Linked DNA regions of Bombyx mori. The main gene of each other region encodes a partner of the protein of the gene in region 2 in a complex. Links are inferred from orthologs where the notes say so. Each region holds a gene or a part of one and is shown on either strand. Other genes may lie near its edges.

Evidence for each region.
Region 1: DNA replication licensing factor Mcm6 (region 2) and DNA replication complex GINS protein SLD5 share a complex: the UniProt entries of both Homo sapiens proteins name them as parts of the CMG helicase complex. The link is inferred for Bombyx mori from reciprocal best matches to the Homo sapiens genes MCM6 and GINS4.
Region 3: DNA replication licensing factor Mcm6 (region 2) and cell division control protein 45 homolog share a complex: the UniProt entries of both Homo sapiens proteins name them as parts of the CMG helicase complex. The link is inferred for Bombyx mori from reciprocal best matches to the Homo sapiens genes MCM6 and CDC45.
Region 4: DNA replication licensing factor Mcm6 (region 2) and DNA replication complex GINS protein PSF1 share a complex: the UniProt entries of both Homo sapiens proteins name them as parts of the CMG helicase complex. The link is inferred for Bombyx mori from reciprocal best matches to the Homo sapiens genes MCM6 and GINS1.

The regions. Positions count from the first base shown.
Region 1 is NC_085121.1:9,245,601-9,249,611, reverse strand, and holds the start of DNA replication complex GINS protein SLD5, read right to left. Parts: upstream 2,801-4,011; 5' UTR 1,604-2,800; coding exon 1,027-1,603; intron 345-1,026; coding exon of another isoform or gene 322-344; exon of another isoform or gene 1-321. Other genes in the region: opsin-1, read left to right, coding at 2,938-2,944. UniProt on the Homo sapiens protein: Required for correct functioning of the GINS complex, a complex that plays an essential role in the initiation of DNA replication, and progression of DNA replication forks.
Region 2 is NC_085132.1:5,464,727-5,468,680, forward strand, and holds the start of DNA replication licensing factor Mcm6, read right to left. Parts: upstream 2,801-3,954; 5' UTR 2,659-2,800; intron 1,660-2,658; exon of another isoform or gene 1,426-1,659; intron 1,322-1,425; 5' UTR 1,312-1,321; coding exon 1,220-1,311; intron 1,047-1,219; coding exon 623-1,046; intron 501-622; coding exon 309-500; intron 180-308; coding exon 7-179; intron 1-6. Other genes in the region: uncharacterized protein LOC101741249, read left to right, coding at 3,735-3,832, 3,914-3,954. UniProt on the Homo sapiens protein: Acts as a component of the MCM2-7 complex (MCM complex) which is the replicative helicase essential for 'once per cell cycle' DNA replication initiation and elongation in eukaryotic cells.
Region 3 is NC_085122.1:1,052,313-1,056,525, forward strand, and holds the start of cell division control protein 45 homolog, read right to left. Parts: upstream 2,801-4,213; 5' UTR 2,664-2,800; coding exon 2,613-2,663; intron 2,538-2,612; coding exon 2,247-2,537; intron 1,790-2,246; coding exon 1,715-1,789; intron 1,576-1,714; coding exon 1,441-1,575; intron 1,285-1,440; coding exon 1,108-1,284; intron 1-1,107. Other genes in the region: RNA polymerase II-associated protein 1, read right to left, coding at 3,819-4,213. UniProt on the Homo sapiens protein: Required for initiation of chromosomal DNA replication. Core component of CDC45-MCM-GINS (CMG) helicase, the molecular machine that unwinds template DNA during replication, and around which the replisome is built.
Region 4 is NC_085118.1:17,161,055-17,164,889, forward strand, and holds DNA replication complex GINS protein PSF1, read right to left. Parts: upstream 2,436-3,835; 5' UTR 2,306-2,435; coding exon 2,234-2,305; intron 1,972-2,233; coding exon 1,907-1,971; intron 1,068-1,906; coding exon 617-1,067; 3' UTR 501-616; downstream 1-500. UniProt on the Homo sapiens protein: Required for correct functioning of the GINS complex, a complex that plays an essential role in the initiation of DNA replication, and progression of DNA replication forks.

The DNA of each region.
Region 1 (4,011 bases), on a different chromosome or scaffold from region 2:
TTTAAAATTCTATGACATTCCCTAGTTTTCTGAGGAAATGCATAAACTTAGTATTTATATAGATAGCATTACTGCAATTACAAACCTACGAAATTAATAAATTTGACTTTACTGGTGTAAGTATATGGTTGGGCTACATACCTACAATAAAATTTAGACTTTAAATTGAAATGTTAAGGTAATTACAAGCATTTTTACATTACAGCTTTATCATTTAACATCTTACTTACACTTTCACTAGTGGTACGGTGTCTTGTGAGCCTGCATGATGTGTACCACCACCCTGCCTATTTCTGCCATGAAGCAGTAATGCGTTTTGGTTTAAGAGTTGGGGCAGCCATTAACTGAGTCATAAAACGGAGACTTAGAACTCTTGCCTCAAGGTTTTAATTAAAAAAAATAATAATTTTAATTATAGCACAACTTTGCACTTTAGATTAGTTTAAAAGTATAAGATTTTAACTCCTATGGTAAATATCATTCACTGTGTTTGATTTTTTTTTATTTCTGAGATTGCTACATAATGTATGTTCAGAAGTGTTGTATGTGTCAGACATACACAATGTTAAATGTTCACCAAAATCTATAAATACTATAAAAAGTGAATACCTCCTGAGATATGAGGTCTAAGTCTCCATTGTCTAGTATGGGGACTGTCCCCATTCTTCAAACTTCATGACTGCTTTATGGCAGAGACTAATTAATTGGTGACACATTCCCATATGGCCTACCACCAATAATTATGGGATATTATTTTTATTTTGGCAAGTTTATTGTTTCCATAGTGTTATTTCTTTTTTGTGGATTAATCAAACAGAATTAGATTCAATTTAAGACATATATAATCAAATCATTCAATATACCATAATATTATTATTTAAGTCATGATAACTTCAATGATATAGGTGATATCCTGTGGTACAATAGTCAAGGTCATTAAACCAACAAGGGTATTGCTCTATCTATCAAAGTATAACAAAAGAAAACCTATAATGTGTTTCAGTTGTGAGAAAATCAATAACAAACCTTCTAAGTCAATTTCTTCATCTTCACCAGTCAAGTCTTCTAATACAACCCCATTAATGGTTTCATTGGCTTTAAGGAATACATGCGTTTGTAAATTAGGATGTTCTGCCATTTTGTTCATTTCAAAGACTTGCATATTACCAGGCATTTTATTTAATACCACATTTTTCATATGATTTTCCATGTTCAAAACATATTCTTGAGCATATTTATATTCTGATGGTGTTAGGTAATTAGTATCAGTTTCTATTCTTTGTCTTTCTTGGTTTAGTATTGGAATGCAATATTTTTCAATCTTATTCAGTCTAGTTTTAAGATAATTACAAATAATAAATTTAATTCTGCTAATCTCCATTTTGTGTATAGAAGTTCTCAAATCAGTTTTTGAAAGTTTATTTATGTTTCTTTCCATGTGTTGTATTTGACCTAACATACATTCTACCATGTCATTTTGATGAGGGAGTATTTCTGGGGACAATCTTTCATTTTGCCAAGCACTTTGTAGTGTTTTTAAAACAGTCTCAGCTGTTACTTCTTCTTCATCATCACTGAACTGCAACTCTTCGGTTGACTCCATATTCTTCTAAATTATATATACCCACAGAATTCTAGTGCAACTTTAGATTGTCACTGAATGATATTATTCTAGCTTTCACGACTCGAATTTGAGTTCTGGTGTTTTTTAGGTTCTAAAGAGCTTTTTTTACCAATTCATTATAAATTTAAAGAGTATATAATCGCATTCATGTTTCACTACATTACAATCATAGTTTTTTTTTCTTTTATCTTTTTCTTTTATTAAAATTTTCTGTATTTTTGTCTTGCTTTCTGTACTAAACAAATTGTTACTTTATGACATACCTCAATTGTCATTAATTTTTTTTTTCTTCTGAATAGCACGGGATTTTATTTCTACTACCTTTATTGAAATAATAAGTTTATGGTAAAATAATGTAATTTTTTTTCTCACAGATTTTTTTGCTTACTATTTGTTTAAAACTTTGTTGGTTTGAACTAGAGATGGCGTTAACGGTTGAATTTATTTATCTGTTAACTGGTAATTGATAAAAAAAATTACCGATATTTTTATTGGTTGAAAATACCGGTAAATCTTTTCGTTGAAAAATTAATTTTGCTAATGTTAAACTTGAATGGTACTAGCACTTTTCGAAATGATCCCATATTTCTGCATTGCGTTTCGGCATTTTAAATTAGATATACAATTTAAAAATCCACAACAACAAAGTAAGCAAAGTCTCAAACACACAAAAACAAAGTCAAAACACACAAACACAAAGTACAAATCTCTTAAAATACAAAAACACAACTTTACCAAAATAATAGAAAAGATGCACTGAGCCACCAAAATGTCAAGTACCAAACAAAATATTACGTTTAAAAAATCAACCAATCACGTCATCTTCGCGTTCGGTAAAAATATCGTTTCATTTCAATTTTTTAACGAAAAAAATTATCATTAACTGTAAAATACACCAACTTAAATATTGTGCTTTATTTTGAGGGGTATAGAGCATACAATGAAATCATAAAATTCAATATTTTTTACATGATAAGTTGAAGACATCTGCAAGGCGAAAATGAATCTTACGTGTTGAAATAAAGTTGAAACTTGCATAAATATAATTTCCAATAATTGCCTATGCCACTACACGCAGTGTGTTTGGTAAACGGTATTTTTAACCGTTTTGGGTAATTTTATTTATCGAATAGAAGTGTTAATTTTTTTTACCGGTAAATTTATTGGTTATTGGTTATATTAGCCACCTCTAGTTTGAACCAATGTTTTATCTATTTCTATCATAAGTAATACTACGAAGAGTGAGTGAGCAGCTATGAGTCTCGATGATATTTAATATCAAGTTCGATTTCTACAAATGATAATGTTCCTGTATGTTAAGTATGTTTCTCCACTGTGTTCTTGAACAAAGTTTAGTAGTGAAGGAATAACATCGAACGCTGTAATAAAATTAGTATAAGCCGCCATACCATCTTGTTTATTTCTTGTGCAAACCAATCATCATCCTGGTTTGAAGGGTTGAATGGTTAATATTTTTAAATATTTTTTTATTGCTTCATGTTGTGGAAGTCTCAGTAGTAATGGGTGCTCGAGCCATCCTAGTAGGCTTACAGCAAGCCTTATCTTACTAGTAAAATTAGGGATGAAGAGCAAGAAAACGAAAAAAGTCGATATTCAGAAGAGAAAAGCCAGTGCTGACACTATGAAAGAGTGCGTCGCCTCCCACTTAAAACTACATATTATTTTCAAAACTCGTCTGAATATAGCTTTCAGAAATACTTTGCTATAGAGTTCATCCTAGAATTATTTCTAGAAATGAGCTGTGGATGGAACAATGAACTCTACTTCGGACATTACTACTGAAAGTTGTTGTACATGTGCTTGGTACAAGCACACTGACCATCCCGTAAATACATTTACATTATTCATTCTAAATTTTACTTAAAATAGAGCCGTGGGCCGCGGGACACACCTAGTTTGTTTTAAACAATTAATTGCAGTTTTTGTATCGAATAATGTACGTACGTACTAGCGAAGACATTTAATCTTGTTAGCCACATAAACCTGCTTCTTTGAAGTCGCATAACTACATTACCTCAGTAATACAGAGCTGTACTTACAAATATCTGTACTTACAAATAGCTGTACTTTGCAAATATCAACCGTACTATAACGGCGGCACTTAAACATAGTTTATTTTATAAATAACTAAATTTATTACTAAATTTCAAAATTCTGCTGACCGTTTCCTTGAAATTAGTCCACATTAAGCACTTTGCATCTTAAAATTTAGTTTTTTCGTTCCAAAATTTACGTATGTGCTCCATTGCTGCTCTTTTTGGAATCACCCAGATCTTTTGACACAAGTAGACTTTAATCAAAAATGGCTTAGAATCGATTCTTAATATGCAGCTAAACGAGCTAACTTGGACCCATGCATCCCTACC
Region 2 (3,954 bases):
CCTCACTTATAATGCAGTTCTCGCACTCCAAGAGCCTTGAGTCCCTTTATGCCTTCCATTTGACCTTCATTTGCTAATTTAGTCCTGGTTGTAATCTCAGCCCTGGAGCCTGGCATTGACAAGGCTCCCACATCAGGCACTACAATCAGTGTTCCTGTAAAATCATAACGGTCACCAGCCTAAAAAACAAATTATACTTTTAGTTTCAATTTAGATTGATTAATCTTAGTTTGATATTTTTGGCTTTACAAATATCGAGAAATTGGGAAGTTCAGGTCTTGTCCATATCATGTTTCTTTTAAATTCACCTGCACAGATTCAACAGCTTCAGCCCTCAATATCACTTCAAGAGATCTGGGTATGCAACCACGGGGCAATTCAGCTTGGGTTTCCTGGATTCGTATCTTTTGGAAGTCAACAAAAACGCTCTTGTCTGCGTCCAGCATAAAACGCCTTCTATTAGCACATACAGGATTACGGCAGATTGTTGGAATTGTGTACTGAGGATAAAATAATATTTGTTAATTAATTTATTATTTATTTTAATTAATTCCATTTAATTTTATTAAGTTACTGTATTTCTCTAAAGAATTAATAAAATCAATTAATTAAAAAATCTTACCTTAAACTGTTGCTCTACATTTTTAATAACTGTTTGACAATCTAAGCACACAAATGTGCCCTGAACTAATTCAGGGTGAACTGGATGTGTCCTTACAATCTGCCCAGAGATCCTTATGAGAGTACCAATCTTTGCTGTGGTTAACTCCCTTACTTTGTGTCTTGTTGGTACATCAACAAATGAAACATAGCATTCTTTATCTTGTAGATCTTTTTTCATTCCAGTTTCCGCAAGACTGAGTATGTAATTCAAAATGGCTCTGTTTAGAAATGGATATATCCTATAATACTCTTCAATTATTGTGGTAGCAAGATTCTGGTTGTACTTTTCAACATCATCAAAACTAACTTCAAGGGTACTGAGCTCTGGTTTCAATAGTTCCTTAGCATGTTTCTCATATTTGATTTCGTTATCTTCCTTAAATCTGTAAATATTTTTTTTTGTTAATTATTTGCTGAAGCGGTTTTAAATTTATATCAAGAAGTCTGTTTGCCAACTAATGAAAATATGGAAGAAAAGCATTTATTCATAATATGGTAAATAAAAAAACAAATAACTTAGTATTATAACAAACTTGATTTTTAAAATCAAACATACTCTTCTAAGAAGTCTTGAAAAAGCTTTTGGCATCGAATTCCCACTTCATCTTTTACTTGACTCTGTGTGGCATATGTGTCAGCTACATCCATGGTTCACGACCTGAATAATATGTAACACCAGAGCTTAAGGGTGAGTTAATTTGCAAAGTTTGTTAAACGATTCTGCAATCTGCAACTTTAAAACAATGACAATAAACAAGTAACCGGTTACACGTGTTCTGTAATGATTCTCACTTAGATGGGCTAATCGTTTCTATGGACAGAGCTCAATTACTTCAATATTATTAGTTGATTTTGTTTAATAAAACTTTAAAAAGAAAATATTTTGAAAACGAGAACCGATAAAAATTCAAACATGTGTACAAGCGTACCAATTTGAACTATGACAGATTGAACGTCAGACTGACAAGAGGGTCCCGAGGGCGGGAAAACGTTGTAAAATTGTCCCTTCAAAAACAATAAAAATTTATCTATTCATAAAGAATAGGCAAAGACAAAGCAGTACTACACTACATTATTTTCTTCTCTTTGTCAGATATTATAAAGTATTTACATTGAAAAGAAAAACAGTGACTGCGGTGGAACAATAATAATACACTAAATATGAAGAAATGCTTACATAATTAAGTAAGTAGTTCAAGACAAGAATGTTCCAAATGCAATTTTAAATATCGGAAGAATTTTCCTTACGTCAAAATAAAGCTGGTACGGTACTCTCGATTATGTGCATAAGTTTCATTATTAAATAACATGACCATATGAAGTGTCTAAAATCTTTCGGACTAGCACAATTAGTTTTTATTGTTGGACGGTTAAATTTAAGGGGACTAGGTTCTGGAGGAGAGAGGCTATTTAAAAACACTCTGCTTCATGGTTAATTTAATTATATTGCAAATACTTTGTACACTATTACACCATTATAATATTTTATTTTGATACAACTCTAAGATGTTACTCTGTCCGTGTCTAGATGAGAAGTCATTGTCTTCACTGACGAGAAGACAAATTATTTGTTTTAAACATTTAAATAAGCATTCCAATATTTGAAATCTGTGACCTTACATGTGTCAAGTGTTGCCTACCATCGCTTACATACATGGAGATAATCTTATATATTCAAACTCCAACACTTATAGATACGCTTGGGGCACTGTTTGACTCCTTGGCATTTTTTTCAATAACTATACGATTAGTTTTTCGAGAGCTGTTCGTGCTCACCCTACTGTTCTGTAGATTTTATCAAAACTTGCCGATCCAGTTGGACAGGTAAAACCCCAAAACTCTTATTCAGTCGTAAAAACTAATAAGTAAGATATGTACATGCTTCAATAAAATATGAAATGCATGTTAAAAATTATAATGTAGCACTTGATCTGTCAGTGAAAACTGAAAGCGGAAAGAATTATTTAACGAATCCGTTAGAATTATGTAACGAACCTAAAGTTGTTTATTTTCCCTGTTTTCCAATTACAGCACTAGAGCGCATTATGCGGCATAATGCTCAACGTCGAATGTTCCTACTACAGCAACGCTTCGCACAATCGAGCACTCTCAAAAGTACTGCTCTCGCGTGATACTCGCAATCGATACCGACTCAGTGACAGAAAATTGACAAGTGTTTTTTCTTTAAGTTGGAATTGATCGAAATTTTGTTTATATTATCGTTAGTAATATTATTTATTGTTGAAAAATTTTGTAAGGCTTTCGTTTCGTCGTAGTTTCTTGGAAATAATCAAAGTTAATTGAAACTGTGCTAAAAAAAATATAAGTATGGATGATTCACTTAAAAAGTATATAATTTTCATAGAACTCATTTAAAAAAAATACTCAAAATGTAAAAAAATGTTAATGAAATAATAAAAATCCAAATTACTTAAAATAACCGTAAATAGTTTTCAACCAATTATTATTGTTTACTACATTATTTATATATTAATGAGGTTGCCAACTCCATGAATATTTTTTTTCAACATTGAACTTATCGCACTCTGCTGATGCATTTGAAAACTATTTTACGTTCCAATTAAGATTCAGCATAATTCAGCATTGTGTGCTATTGAGTCGCATTATGCGCTGTAATTGGAAAGCTACCTTTATGAATATTTGAAACATCTAGATTATAAAAGTTTGGCGGAAACGAGTGAGAGTGGTTATAACCATGGACAATACCCTCCAAAAAGTCCACTGAGAAATCTCAGTAAATGACCACCATTTTACTGCGATTATATTTCATTCCATATCATCTCATTTCATTTAATTTCATCCCAGTTGATTAATGTCTCAAATTAATCATCTTCATTTCATTTCACTCCATTTTATCATTTTTCATAGAAATAAGAATATAAATTAAAATAAGACATGACTTAAAGGTCTTTTTTACCAGGTCATAAAATCCATTAAAAAAAATCGCTCCACTGATTAGCGTTTGAGAAAGTTATGAAGTTTCATAATATGTAGTAATTAGTAAGACAACTTCCCAATAAAGTTGTTTTTAAGTGCACTAATCATTGAAAATGACAGAAACAAAAATAGCCTTTCTATATAAAATAGCGTCTTCCTTACCATCAAATATATCCAACAATCTTCAAAATGTGTTGAAAAGTTATTATTTGTATGTAACAAAAATGTTTGTCACATTTATATATTGTATCGAGTTATCTGGATATTAAAAAAAAAAAACTATCTATTTCAGAATGAAATGTAAAGAAGTAACTAAAGGTTATGGACTACCAG
Region 3 (4,213 bases), on a different chromosome or scaffold from region 2:
GACCGGACTTGTCGCTTCCGACCGTCGTGGCTGCGATGCTCGGCAGCGATGAGTCCTGGCAGGCGATGCTCGACTTCTGCGTGTCCACCATCTCGCAGAAGGAGGCGGCGGAACGGGAGAGGGAGAACTCTTCCTCCCTCTCGGCGCCGTGCCGCCGCCGTCGAGCCGGGGGTCGGAGGAGGGCGTTTGTCCAGCTCCGGCCCCTATGAGGAGGCAGTCTCCTCCCGGTGATGGTCACGGGGCGACCTAAGGGGGCTGAGACTGCGCCGCACGCTACCGTCACTCTAGCGCGCTGGCACCAGGAGGACGGGACGACGCGTCGGCGGCTGCGGACTGCGATGCGGTCCGCATTTTCGTCGTCGCTGTCGTCGCCGAACACTGTGGAAGAGCAACCCGGTCGGCGGTGTATCGCGTTCCGACCCGGCAGGCTGGTTCTGGCCCAGCGGGGTATCCCGGAACACCAGCGGCATCGCCCGGGCGGCCTGAAGGGCCGCCGTACCGCGGAGACTGACGTCGTTGGTCGTCGACTATCGCCTCGACGACCCGTCGGTCGGGCGTCCTCGGGGTGGCGCCGCGTGTCTGGTTGTAGTGTTGACCGCGGGAACCCCCCTACTCTGACCGGGTTTTGACCCCGGACGGAGATCGGACGCCGGGTGTAAGAGTGCAGGGGAGTCGTTTAGTGGGTGGGCCCTAAATTCCTTGGGCCCGCGGTCTGCTCTCAACACCTGCAGATCGTTGAGTCTCACATACCCCGCGCGCCCCCTAGGCGCGGGGACCTCGTAGGAGGTTCGGCCCACGGCCCGGAAAAAAAAAAAAAAAAAAAAAAAAAAAAAAGTAAATTAACCCACTTACACAGCCCACTGAGTTTCTCGCCAGACCTTCCGATCCGGTGATGGATCCAAACCGATAGAAGCAGACCAGTGCTAGGGCTAGAGTTAGCAACGTCCACAGCTTAGAGCCCCGTGAGCTCACCTACTCTCTCGTTTACGCTGGCATAACCTCTAAAGGCTACCCAGCTTAAGTAATACCCGTGGCAATGTACAGTAGTTGTATCTCGTGCATGATATTGGTGTGTGCCCATATATTTATGTGCAGTAACATACTCACATGTGAAGGTAGTTGCGCGGCGAGATGTCGATGCAGCGCATGTGCATCAAGCAGAGCTTGTGCAGGGGAGCGTGTGTGAGTGGCAGCATACGCACTGACAGCTATGCATCCGGCCCACGTGTACTCCACTCCGCTGCGACATAGCAGCCAGGCCAGCTCTACTGCTATGCAAGCACTCTAATGCAAATGTATTATTAGATTAAGACTTATCTGTAAATAATTGTCAAATTCATATTACAAGTGAGATTGATACAAGACTGGATCTACTTTATTCATTAATGTCCATAATTATTGTTAACACAGTTCAATAGGTTTATCAGACGTTTTACTCACCGGTTTACCATAATATGAGAATTGAGTGTAGTTAAACATAAGATCGTTTCGTTTTGTTTCCCATTCTCTACGTTGACGCCGTCTCTCGACAAAAGCTTCTAGGTCTTCTCGACCACTTGGCATTTCTTCTTCGTTCTGTAATTATTTTTAATATCTTCACACTGACTTCAAATTTTAAATACCATTAAATTTTTATTGTAAACTAGATTTTTAAAAACTTTTGGAGTTTGCAGCATTGCAAAATAGTCTTAAATCAGATATTACAGTTTCGTACCTCATCATCATCATCTCTGAATATATCATCAAAATTAGGAATGTTCTCTTCTTCATCACGGTACACCAGTCTCACCTGTAACAGAACAAAATATATATTTCTACCTACTATCTAGTAATCTAGTGGGGTTGTACTAACTTCACTGAACATGTTTTTTTTTCTTTCTAAATGTTAAAACAATAAAGCCATGTTAGCTTCTAAATTCCCTTCCTTTATTTGAGGTCAAGTCTTTTGATTCTGTTCTGTTGAAACATTTTGCTGCACTTTGTGTCATATCCTAACATAATGATTATGTACTTTGTCAAATTTAGGCTCTAAGCTATCTCTCTATCTCTAACTAACTAATCTAGTCTTTTGAACAGTTATTCTTGTTTATTCACCCAAACTTCATATGAAATGGAGTGGATTAAGAACTTTTTTCATTTGTTCACCCATCCATAAGCAAGTTTATGTCTGTCTAAAAATTCAATTCCCAAATCATTGCCAACATAAAGTATTTATAACATCTGCTGCTCTCTCTAGTTCCACTAACCTGTCCATCGCTATAAACATTGCAGACATCAGTCGGTTTATGGGAGTCCAGCACAAAAAATACCACATCCTCCTCGGGCTGTAAGATATCGACCAGGTCTATAGTACCTCCGCAGTTCACCAACACTACGTACTTGACTTCTTCATTGTTTTCTTCGTAAGCAGTCTTCAATTCAGAAATACCCCCCACCGGCACTAGCGTATATGATATATTATCACTCTTGAATAATCCTTGAAGTATTTTACATGTACATATTGCATCTACATCATAATGCACTAATAATAACACGCGCTGGAAGTAAATTAACAAAAATACAATTTTCAGGTCAATATTTCACGAATATTTATCTTCAGTTTTAAAGCTTACATTGCCTAAAAGGAGATTGTAAAAGTCATTTCTGAGGTCCTCTATAAACATTTTTGCCGTACACAGGAACGAATAACTCAGGAAATAACCATTTTCCTATGAGTGTTAGAAATTTTTAACATATAAAAAACATTGAACCACCATTGAAATTGAACACCTGCGGCTTCTGTCATTAACTTGTCAATAATGTCAATATTTTGTTCTTGTTGACATTTTGAAACTAACTGTTAAGTAATTTTCCCGCGTAAACCAGTTGTCAACTTCATATATTTGCACGGCCGTCGACTGGGTTTAAGTAGAATAGTTATTTAGTTATTTTATCCAGTAGAATGCGGCCATTCTACTAAGACTTCACAATGGCTTCTAAGAACCAGACTAGTATTTCAAGACATTTTTTGTATTTCCCCGCTCTTGAGCACTTGCTGCCTAATAACAATTTTTTTTTTATAAATTAACACTTTCTTTTCATAAACACGAAAACATGCAAAAATTTACATGAGCTACATACCAAACAAGAAGATGGTAATTTAATTTTTGTTGTTGCCATTGGATTTATCTTTATTTCACTCCGGAATAAAAATAGGTACTTTATTTCTGATCCTCCTACGAGGTCCAGACGCCTACGAAACGACTCTCCTGTACTCTCACCCAGGCGTTCGAAGCCCCCTCCTGTTACTTCTTCAATTAAATTAATATAGCAATGGGTTATTTGGGTACCACTATATTACAAATAATATACGCCGCGAAGGATTCACGCGGTGCTTGAAGGACGGGACGGAATTAATGTTTCGTCGACAATTCAAGAATTTCGACCTCATATTTTAACGAGGGTGGTGGGGCTTAAGATTGGAACAGAAACGACTTACCGAAACGGGAAAAACAGGGGATATTAAGGGTTAATTAAATTAAAATAATTTAATTCATATTGAAAATTCAATCCTTTATTACTTATTACAAAAAGCCACGTTCGCCATGGGTAGTTAGAGAAGTCATAAAGGCTTTCGTATACTATAGTTGAGAGTTTACATTGAATAATGTAGCATGTGAGTTCATCGTGAGTTGATCTACAGGAACAAAAATCAATTTTGTCCACACAAATCAGGTTAATTGGAGAAAATGCTTCCTGAAGTTTAAAATGAATACCGTCAAAATATCTTATTGACAAAAATGTCAACAAGAAAAACGTTACATTGTATTTTAGTAATTTCAAGTGTTTTGTATCTGAGATCGATTCTTGAATATGTGCACGTGATGACTCGCAATTTTATGCATTATTGTATCCGGTCGTAGTAAATTACAGGATAGCGCGCGATGATAAGATTTAATCAAAGATTCGTCCGTCTCTTCTGGATAAAGATACTCATTTACTTCATAACAAAGTAGTTGTTCCGGGCAATCTAACGCCCGGAGACATCCAGCATATTCCGACCATATCAATTTCCTCCATTTAACATTATGCTTTTGAGCTAAAGGCACCAATACACATGCAGAAAACACGTCATCTCCATAGCTGACCGCTTGGAATTGTTCTAGAAACTGTGTGTAGAAATCTTGGAAGTTGTTCAAGCCCGTTAATTGTTTATCGAAATTGAAGGCTGATT
Region 4 (3,835 bases), on a different chromosome or scaffold from region 2:
TCGAAGGGCTCGACGAGTAAATTAACTCCCAGACACAGCCCACTGAGTTTCTCGCCGTATCTTCTCAGTGGGTCGCGTTTCCGATCCGGTGGTAGATTCTGCGAAGCACGGCTCTTGCTAGGGTTCGTGTTAGCAACGTCATCAGGTTTGAGCCCTCAAGGCTACCATCATAGGTAGGAAAAAAAAAAAAAAAAAACTGCGCTGTATCTTTTTTGAGAAAATAGTTTTTTTCAATGCCAGCTCATTAACAGGGCACGTAAATATCAAAAACGCAAATGCTGCCACACACCTAAACAAAAGTTCTAAGTCTGAAGTCTGATATTAGGAGACCTCGGGGCTGATGATGATATTGATTGTTGCATCATTTGATTTGACTACAGCAAGCATTATATTCTTTAGGCCACTATGACTGCTCTTTCACCCATCAGGGATAGTAAAAAAAATGGACACACACTTGCTTTATTAGGAGGTGCAAATCTAATCAAGTCAAATCACTAAGCTTATGGTAAAAATAATCTTCTCATAAAATTTATTTCCATACAGACATCAAACATTATTTTTCACAATATTATTTAAAACATAAAATGGTCAAAAATTCACTATTGATAAAATAAATTCACATTATTTGTTTCAGAATACCCTGTCGTATTAAAGTCTGACATTCCGAAGTAGGAAGATAATGTCTGCTATTCTTCTTAAGCATAACCACATCACCATCTTCAAGTTCTAATTTACCATAATCCACAACACAAAGCACTTCGATGAACAATGATTTAGGGGGCTTTAAATTTTCAGTCAAGTCTATGCCACTGTATCCTATATCTTGGCCTAAAGATCTCATATACAAAGCAAGATTTCCAGAGTATTTTGAAAACCATTGATATTCATCATCAGAAAGCAATTCTCTGATATCTGGAGGTAGTACTGCACCAAATTCCCAACGTAATGTCTTAATTTTTTTCATTCTGTTGTAGAGATAGGCTAATATACACCTTTTATTGCGTTCAAGGGCAGAATGTCTTACTTGAACTGTGGTCCACAATGATCTGTTTTCTGTTGTAGCATTACTAAAAATAGTAATTCAATTAATACAAGCGGTAATCATAAAACAGTTTGTTGTTATCTTCTTCTTCTATAAATGAACTTGATGAGCAATTGAACTACATATTTTTGAAATTTAAATTAAAATGGACTAATAGCAGGTAACCTTATTACAACACCACATGAGACTCAAGTGCATGAAAATATTAACCCCTTTGCACTAAATGACGTTTTCGTTTGTGCGGACCAGCAACTCAGACCGATTTTGGCCAAATTAGAGAAACATTTTAAAAGTACTTTAAGATCAACAAACAAACACACATTTCTCTATTTTTTTTATATACCAAAAACAATAATTAGTACTATTATTAAAAAACAACTACACTGTAAAAAAACTCAATAAGCTGAGCTAAGATTTGGTTAGAAATTGAAGCCAAGCCTGTCCACTAAAGTATTTTTAAGCAGATACATAACCGTAGTGCTGTAACAAATCTGCTGGGTGAGATATCTGTGCTACTCAAGCACAACCAGTAAAGCTATCAAATCTGCTGGGCAAGTTATCCAAACTGCTTGAATGTGAAGAGTTATAAAACAAAAAAGTCATAAAACTTTTTTTTGCATAATTGGGTGAGAGATCTCAGGGCTACCTCAAATCCCATGAAGCTAGCATAACCCCTCGAGGTTAGTAGCAATAGATTGACAAAAAAAAACAAAAATAGACCTTCCTGGAGTTACAAGGTTACCTGAGCACTTTTGCATCACATGAAACAGAATAGGAGGTTACAGAATAGAAGTGATCATAGCAAATCTTGCATATTGAACAATAACTACTTGCAGTTATATTAGTAGAAAACCAGTGACTTACGCATCATTCATGTTCAATTTAAATAATAAATGCATTTCTTCTATTATTTGGCGTATTTTTTCATCCTGTAACATGTGAAATACTATGTACTTTATAAGATTAAAAGACACAAAAATAATAATAGGCGGTGCTATAACAATAATTTAATATACTTGTCACTTCTAAATGGATTTCTGACTTTATAGTGCATATGCATAGACAAACAGAATAGATGACAACCGGATAAAATCTTGGTTTCGGTATTAAATAGTAACTTAAAGCTTTCATTAGATATAACAAGTTTATTCTAATTCCAATCCCATACCTAGATGGGCACATCCAACTTACATTATATTGATCTATTGTGTCAGGATTTCTATCTACTTCTTTAATTAGTTCTATAACTTTTTCTGCGAACATTGTGTGTTACTTATTTACTTAACAATGAGAGAGATAACAAACAAAATACTTTAATAATTTAGATAAAAACATTTTTGGCATTGGCGCGAAAGTTGTTATTAATTTGATGAGTGACAGCTCAAGACTGTGACAGATAGTAAATTTGACATTTTATGATCGGATACGCATCATTTTTGGATGAGTTCGAAAATCACAGAAGCCTTGATCTTTAAATCTATAATACCAAAACCTAATCTTAAGATATTAAAATTTTCTAGAAGTGGGAGCTAAGTCATACAAGTAACTTTTTACAGATAATCACTTAGTAGCAATACAGCCAATAATAATCTCACTCTCCTTATCGGGTCGACCATCAGATCCAATTACTCTTGCAAAGACGCTTTCAACTTTAACATTAGGAGCAGACTTAGGGACCCTGATAACCGTACTCGTCGAACTCAACAAAGTGTTCGACGTGCAAACTAACCTCCCGGTGCCACCTCTGGGACATGATGATTTCATCATTCCCGCTGAATTGCGCCTCCTTATCAAGCGGATAAAGAGGCGCAAGGCATTGTGTGAGGACGGTATTCTCACCCTTGCATTTTTCCACTTTCTAGAATCAGTCGTGTCTTTTAAGACACGGCTGTTTAATTACATTCTGTCTACAGGATATTTCCCGGGAATTTAGAAGGACAGAAGACAGCCCTCCAATTATCGTCCGATTACCCTGTTGTCGTATGTGGGCAAGTTGTTCGAGCGGCTGCTGGTGAGAAGAGTGTCTCCGCACATCCTTCTCAGACCCGAGCAATTCTGGATACGTAGCAGTCACTCAACAACGCTGCAATTGGTCTGCGTTATGCACCTTTTGACGGTCCAACGCACGCCAGTACATGGCGGCAGTATTTCTCGATTTCGAGAAGGCCTTCAACCGTGTCTGGCGTGCGGGGCTTATCTGCAAGTTGGTGCAGAACACGGACTTCCAGCACGCCTACGTGCGACTACTGGGGTCGTACCTGGAGGGCAGAACTCTTTTTGTCGCGGTCAAGAGCGCTAAATCGTGGATGCGCCCAGCCACAGCTGGGGTTCCCCAAGGAGGTATCCTGTCACCGATCCTCTACGCTCTCTACACCAACGACATTCCCAATGTCGTTACGTTGTGTTAACACACAGAAATAATAAGCAGTAACATATCTATGACGGCGTTAACGTTACTTCTGTTATACAGCACGTGCAATAGGAGTGAGTCATACACAAGCCAGGTGCGCCGGCCGTGTCACTCCACTCGTAAAACAGCACGTGCAACAGGAGTGACTCATAGATAAGCCAGGTGCCCCGGCCGACTGCGTTTGCTCGGTGCACTTACTATATCCTTGTTACATTGTGTGATTAAGTGACTGTTTTACGTACTGGTTAAGGTTGGATAAATGTTAAAGTGAATTAAGTTATCATATTGTTGATTAAATCAGGAATCAAAAAGTGACTTCGTTTTACTGGGTGTTCAACAAGATAATATCCCCCGCCCTAACCCCCCCCCCCCCTCCCCCTCCC